2 linked regions of the Caenorhabditis elegans genome follow. The protein of the gene in region 1 purifies or fractionates together with the protein of each later gene. This does not show direct contact. Each region holds a gene or a part of one and is shown on either strand. Other genes may lie near its edges.

The links.
Region 2: the proteins of mrpl-44 (region 1) and ran-5 fractionate together in Caenorhabditis elegans (co-fractionation; one large-scale study listed by BioGRID). This does not show direct contact.

The regions. Positions count from the first base shown.
Region 1 is NC_003281.10:9,087,669-9,091,421, forward strand, and holds the start of mrpl-44 (Large ribosomal subunit protein mL44), read right to left. Parts: upstream 1,708-3,753; 5' UTR 1,706-1,707; coding exon 1,651-1,705; intron 1,603-1,650; coding exon 1,494-1,602; intron 1,359-1,493; coding exon of another isoform or gene 1,067-1,358; intron 1,021-1,066; coding exon of another isoform or gene 423-1,020; intron 368-422; coding exon of another isoform or gene 63-367; intron 12-62; coding exon of another isoform or gene 1-11. Other genes in the region: mccc-2 (putative methylcrotonoyl-CoA carboxylase beta chain, mitochondrial), read right to left, coding at 1-11, 63-367, 423-1,020, 1,067-1,358, 1,494-1,602, 1,651-1,705. UniProt on the Caenorhabditis elegans protein: Component of the mitochondrial ribosome. May have a function in the assembly/stability of nascent mitochondrial polypeptides exiting the ribosome.
Region 2 is NC_003280.10:6,046,341-6,050,093, reverse strand, and holds ran-5 (RanBD1 domain-containing protein), read right to left. Parts: upstream 1,986-3,753; 5' UTR 1,984-1,985; coding exon 1,917-1,983; intron 1,868-1,916; coding exon 1,755-1,867; intron 1,706-1,754; coding exon 1,550-1,705; intron 1,502-1,549; coding exon 1,367-1,501; intron 1,320-1,366; coding exon 1,205-1,319; intron 1,159-1,204; coding exon 1,067-1,158; intron 1,018-1,066; coding exon 673-1,017; 3' UTR 408-672; downstream 1-407. Other genes in the region: R12C12.6 (Transmembrane protein 9), read left to right, coding at 2,227-2,430, 2,482-2,621, 3,195-3,538, 3,594-3,691.

The DNA.
Region 1 (3,753 bases):
TCTCTTCCAACCTAAAAAATTAGATTAAACTCTGTGAATATTGAAAAATTGTCGAATCATACCATGAATCCAGTGATATTTTGAAGGAAAAGAAGAGGAATCTTCCGTTGACAACACAGCTCAATAAAATGAGAACCTTTCATGGCACTTTCAGCAAACAGAACACCATTATTAGCTAGAATTCCTACACGCTGCCCATAAATAGTAGCAAATCCGGTCACAAGCGTCTCTCCATATCTCTCCTTGAATTCGTGGAATCGAGAGCCATCGACAATTCTAGCGATAACCTCGCGGACGTCGTATGTCTTTTTGAGATTAGATCCCACGATTCCGTAAATTTCCTCAGCTGGATACAAAGGCTCATCAGCTGAAAATTTTGAAGAATGAGAATTAGAAACATGAATATTTTACTATTGTAATACCGTTTGGATTGAAGGTCATATGCTCCTCGACTGGTGGTAGTCCCGCGATACAACTTCTTGCCAAGTACAAAGCATGTTTATCATTATGGGCATAATAATCAGTAACACCCGATTCTCCACAGTGAAGATCAGCTCCACCAAGTTCCTCGGCAGAGATCTCTTCTCCAGTTGCAGCTTTCACAAGTGGTGGTCCTCCAAGGAAAACAGTTCCGGTTCCTTTGACAATAATGGCTTGATCAGACATAGCTGGAACGTAAGCTCCTCCTGCTGTACAACTTCCCATAACTACAGCCAATTGTGGAATTCCTTCGCTGCTCATTGTTGCTTGGTTGTAAAAAATTCTTCCGAAATGCTGGCTGTCGGCAAAGATATCTGCTTGGCGTGGAAGATTTGCGCCACCAGAATCTACGAGATAGATACAAGGCAATTTGTTTTCGCGGGCGATTTCTTGTGCACGAAGATGCTTTTTTACGGTGATAGGATAGTATGTTCCTCCCTTGACAGTCGCATCGTTCGCTACAATGACACAAACACGACCAGAAACTATTCCAACTCCAGTGAGAATTCCACCAGATGGGACTTCCTCTTTTCCATACATCTGAAAAGAAACAGTCAATTTCAAATCGGATACGAATATCGTTTACCTCGTATCCAGCAAGTTGACTAAACTCTATGAATGGTGATCCAGCATCGACAATGCCGTCAATTCTTTCTCTTGCAAGCATTTTTCCACGACTGCGGTGTAATTTCACGGCTTTTTCTCCTCCAGCTTGCTCGATTTTAGATATTTTTGCTTTCAAATCTTCCACGAGAACCTTCATTTCAGCAGTGTTAGCAGCAAAATCGTCCGAAGAGTTGTCGATGGAAGTCTTGATAGGAGCCCATTGAAGAGTTGACTTGTCAGCAGAGCAATGATGATTACGTACTTGCACAGAACTGAGATGGGTTAAGAAAATACTTAAACCGCTTGAGTTTCAAGCGATTTTCAATTGCAATTAGCAGCACAGTGAGTCAATACAGTGGGAAATGGGAAACGGCTTTTGTATGACATTTTTCTGAGAAAAAACTTACCAGTTTGGGTATGAAGATCGGGAAATTGCTGGATCAGCTCCAAGAATCTGTCGGCGATGGTAAAGGTCCTTCAGGTATCCTCGCTCCCATCGAGTACGCAGCAACCGGTCTGGAAAACAGATATTGAATATCAAAACTAATAATTGCTCAAACTCACATGACTGAATGGATGTGTTTCTTGAGCCCAAATTTTGAGCCACGTGACGGAACATTACTGCAATTAAAAGCTATGAAAAACATCGATTTGGAATAAAAGACTGTCCAACTCGAAAAATCAGCGTTCAATGGGCAAATTCTGACGAATTCGGCAAGTAAGAAGATTATTAAGATTGCAATAATAATTTTCGCACATTTTTCGAACTAAAAATCGTTGAAATCGTAAAAAATAAAGGGGAAAAACTTATTTGCAAAGTTGATGATAAGAAAAAAACACCGAGCAAAAACTTGACTAAACTGGGCGCACGCGGGATATCGGAGTCTCGTACCCGACAAAACGCGGGCGTTCAAATTAGAGTTTTTGTCATTTCATTAGAATTTTGATATATGCACAGCAGATATCCTTCTAAAGCCGTTCCATAAGTTGTCAGCAAAATATACAATATACAATTAAATGCTGTATTCCACCTCTATGTTCCCTATGAATTCGTTCTAATTTATACAAGTACAACATAATATGTACTTGCATTGATTACAAGTACATGCAATATTTTCTCACACCATTATACTTGAACACCTGAATCATATAATTGACAGCAGTGACTAATTAGAATAACATGCACGTCTTCCTGTCTGAAATTTATCCGGTCATGAACTTTCCAAGTCATGGGAACCTAGGCAAGTGACGTGGTTATCTAACTAGCCAGTTAGATAACCACGTCACTTGTGCTAAGGTCCTTCCGGTACGCAATCGTATTCTATCTACTAATTAATAATAATTTTCTCATAGCCATTAAATATTTAACTTTCAGAATATTCAAAATGTCAATTTGATAAATCGAATTTAAGATGTTAAGAAAATATTAAATTCAGAAAAAAAATTATCTTCAAAATTCAATACCGTACCGTTCAATTTTTAATAAACATATGTTCTATAGCCCAATTTGATACACCAATTACTCTCAGCAACTCTTCATTTATCTTTTAGGCATTAGGACCTTATAAGGTGGTACCAAAATTTTCAGCCACCTGGCTAATTCTAGCAAGTTCCGTATAAGTAAAAGGTATAAATCAGAAAACTTAAGAATTTGAAAATATCCACAACTGCTTAAAAATTCAATTAAAGTTGTAAAATTAATCCTAACTCCTTGTGCTGTACAAAACCCATTTTATGGAAACATTCAGAATCCCCAATACTTTTTCTCTTTTCTCACATGACCTTATAGTTTATCTTCCGAATGCTGAATGTTTTTTCTTCAGTACAAATGTTTTGAATACCTAGGTAACCTCGAGTATGAGAAACAACATTAACAATGTTTTGGGAGAAACATGTAGTTTTGTACGTCCGGTCCAGTGAGAGTTTTCAACTTATTTTGGAAGAAATTTTTTTTTGACAAAATTTTGCAATTTCCCACGCAGAAATACGGTATGCCCCGTATCTCGCCACGAACATAATATTTTAAATTGACGGAAAGGTGTGCGCCTTTAAGAAGCACAGTAACCATTTTCCGGTTTTTTTTTTGAAATTGCCTTTGATTTTTACTTTTTTCTCCCAAAAACGAGAAATTTAATATAATCCATCAAAATCTTTGTGAACGAGAGAAATATAGTGAAAAACTCAAAGAAAATTGCGAAATGGATTACTGTACTCCATAAAGGCGCACATCTTTTCGAAAAATCGTGAAAAATTGCATCTGACCAACAGTTTTGCGTGGAATCTTCCTAGATTCAAATTTCCTATGAGTCATAAAACTATCATTTTATCGGACAATAACTACACGTGTACCTTGTTTCCATATGTTCTACCAATATAATTTGTGTTCATATGTGGCCAGGTACGGGAAATTAGAACACGGACTGATTTAGGAAGGTTCAAATTCGAGAACAATGGACGACTTGCTGCACGAAAACGTGGATTATTCTGAAACCGCCTATGTGATCACTATCGATTTAGCACTTCGGTTTTCTTTTTCCGTTTTCCTTTATATTCCGTATTGTATGCCGACAATAACGCTTTTTCTTTGTATAAACATTTCCAGAAGCAGAGCAAATTTGTTTATTCCAGAATTGACTGAATATTGAAATAATGTTTACAGACATACTG
Region 2 (3,753 bases), on another chromosome or scaffold:
AAGGTGTGTGCACCTTTAAGGAGTACTGTAACTTCAAACTCTCATTGATGCGGAATCGATTTTTCCTCTAGATTTATAAAAATTGAAGTGTTTCGGTGTTATTTTAGAGTTTATAAATAAATTGATACAATTTTTTTTTAAGTATTAAAAATTGTCGTGACGAGACCGGCTACCGTATTTTAGGTGCAAAAATCGCGTTTGTTATACTCAAAATTGATATTTAACTACAAAAAAATCTTCTCCTACTGAAACAATGCTACAGAATTGACAAGGTGATAAATGATCATGGTGTTGCCAATTGAATTCTGAATCGATCACCCCACAACGATCGTTATCTCGCTCTCCTCCTCCTTCAGTAAGAGCGCCACTGATAACCGAAACGCCATTGTCTAAGTGTCTTCTTGATTGTATTTCTGCTTTTTATTGCAAACTCTTCTCTTTTTCACAAACCAAATATATTCGACAAACACATAAAACGGGATATATAAGAATAAAACGAAATTGGAAAGTTAGGCCAGATTGGTAGAAATCTAGAAGAAATTTTTAGCAATAAAGAAATTAGACTTAAGGGGAAATGATTTGAGTTGGGTGAAAGTTGGAGACCATTTTTGTGGGGATTGGAAGGAGAAAAAAGAGCACAGGGGAAGTTGAAAGAAGCAATGACTGATATGGTTATTCGGAAGGAGTTGAGCTGGATGCAGATTCTTCGGCAGCTGTAACAGCTGGTTTTTCTTCTTTCACCTCATCTTCTGTTGGCTTGTTTACAATGACAAATCCTTCATCAACTTGATCTTGATCACCTTCTTCTTCTTCCTTTCCATCCTTGATTTTAACAGTTGAAGCGTTCAGATCACAATCCGCTTTCCTCTTCCGACTATTCTCTCCCTTCTCCAATTTCAGCAGGTCGCTCATAATATTGTAGAATATATCCGAATCGGGGATCGTCTCAGTTTTGGTGAATCCGATTTTTAGAAGGAAAATCTGAACACCGCTGATCTCTGGTCCCATTGCGGAAATCTGTAAACAGTAACAATAAAACATATATTCATATAACATTAAAGCTCACTCGAATTCTCTTGTCGACCCGCTCCAAAAGCATATCAGAGAAAATTTTGGAATTTATGATGACACGAAGAGTACCGGAAGATGTTCTTGCCACTGAAAATAATTTTGAATACAATAAACTCTAACTATCAGTATTTACCAATTCGGTGGTGCGTCAGTCCGTTCTCGACTCGTTTGTTGATCCTGAGATTGCAGACACCCTTTTCAGAGTAGGCATTTTTCAATTTATCAAACGCCCAAATTTTGCAAGGAGCCTAAAGACAAATAAATAAAAATTATGTTTTAATGAATACTGCCTCACTTGGAAAATATTAGTATCGTTCTCTTCCCCGGTGGTGATTTCGACTGAACTCGTTCCGGCATGCTGCTTTTCGGCTTCCTTTGCTCTCTCCGCTTCTTGTTCAGCTTCCTTTCTGAAGTTTTTGGCTCCATTTTTCTGAAATTAACATTATGAATAGAAATATTGATTCGAAATATAGATTACATCGTCATCTTTTTTAACTGCATTTTGGAAGAGCTCAGTTGCTGTCATGGTCTTTTCGTCTGAACCACCCGGCTTTGTTGAATCACCTTCTTTGTTCACAACACGATCTGATATTTTGGAGCCAAAAACAAATGCTTGTGGAGCCTCTTCGACTTCCTATAATTAGAAGAAAACGAATTTTTTGACTCATTGTGTTTCAACGAACTTTTTCATTTGCAACAGGCGCATCTGCTGATTTCGGAATAATATCGCCCAGCGATTTCTTTTCCAAATGAACGTGGTTGATTGTTGAATGAGTTGCTGTGTATTCTGTTTTGCCTGCAAATTCACGTGACTTAGATAACATAACACAAAATTGAAAACTTACTATCTGACCACAGTTTATCTGCCTTGGCAGCTAAAGCAGACGGTTTGAAAGCAAAACCTTTTGACATGACTGAAAATAGTAACGAATGAATTAAAAAAGACAAATACCGGATAGAAATTGCAAAAAAAATGCGAAAAATCGATTATTAGTATTCATGCAGACTGAAATGAAGATAATTAGCAAGTAATTTAGACTGAGAACTGAAAAATTACTCAACAAGCAGAAGAAAAATTGAAATTTAAGACAAAAATAAGTGCAAGTTTTTATTTCTTCGATTTTCGTTGTGAACATCATAAAAGTGAAACGAAGAATGCGTCAGCCATCGCGAAAAGCGCCAGTAAGTTGCACTGGCGCACTTCTTGTTTTACTTGTATTCTATTTTTCAGAGCATTTTTTATTTTCTTGCAAAAATAAAAAAAAATACAGTCCAACTTCCGTAATTTTTTCAGATTTAATGATATATTTATTTATTGCTTTACTGTTTCTTCCCGCATTATCCCAAGCAGGGACTGAGGTTTGTTTCATAACTACTTTTATAAAGATATAATTTAATAAATATTTTCAGGCTAACTTCGAAGATACACGATGTCGATGCATTTGTCCGAGTCTTTTAAAATTTCTCGACTTGGCTGAAAATACAACTGAAAAAACAGAAGGATTGAGGAGACGATTTTATACAAAAACTAACATCGAACCGAGCCATTGGTGAGTTTTTTTAATTTTAAATCTGAATTGTTTTAATAGAAAATATAAAATATCAAATCCGAATATGTAAATATCTCCTAGTCACTCTGATATTTTTTGCTAAAAATCCACATCAAAAATAACTTGGCAGAGTTATGAAATTCTCCCACCTTTATGGTATTATTTCGCTCAAAGCAATTGCAAATTTGAATTTCTTTTTTTCATCGAAATTTGAACGTTTCCGACTGTTTTATAAACGTTAAAATTTGAGAAATTTTTGTGGGAACTTTAGTCACAGTTTTAATTTTTTCTCTTTCAGAAAACCACAAATATGATTTAGAAAAACAATTATTTTTATTTTCTATTGCTGAGAATCTACATCGTTGTAAAAATTCGAATAAAAATAAATCATAACCATGAAATCTCGAATTTCTAAGTCTTTATTTTCCTTCCATTTCATCAAAAAAACATGTTGATCAGTTTTAAAACATTTTCAACACTTATTTTTTTAATTTTTTTCAACAGCTCAAATTCATCATTTACACAAATAAACCTTAAATTCGACAAAGAAATATAATTTTTCAAACATTTCAGCAAGCCAAGCAACATTGTGAAAGATCAAGTCAGTAACTTCGTTGACGAGACCCATATGGATGCATTTCTTGCAAATTGCGACTGCCGTTATGAGTCACGAAACACTGTGCTCTTAAAAGTAGTTGTAATATTTGTAATCTGTGTGATCGCTGTTTTAACGGGATACATGGTATTCCTTATGTGCCTGGATCCAATGCTCCGGAAGAAACGATTATCGATCAGTTATCAACAACATAATGATGAAATGGAGGATAATATCTTTGCTGCTGCTCCATCAACTGACGATGAATCATCTTCAGCAAGTAATTCAATGGATACACAAGGAACCACACGTGCGAGAAGTAGTAAGTGCTCCATTTGAAGATTTTATAGTTTTTACTAAAAAAGTATTTTCTTCAGATGTTCTCGGACGCGTCGAGGCCGAACAGAATCGTTGGATGAAGAAGGTCGAGGAGCAACGAAGGAATATCTTCGAAGATCATACAATGCTCAACTAGTTACTTTTCAATCAAAAGGGTTTAAAAATCATTCATAATTTATTAAAACCGTATGATGTATA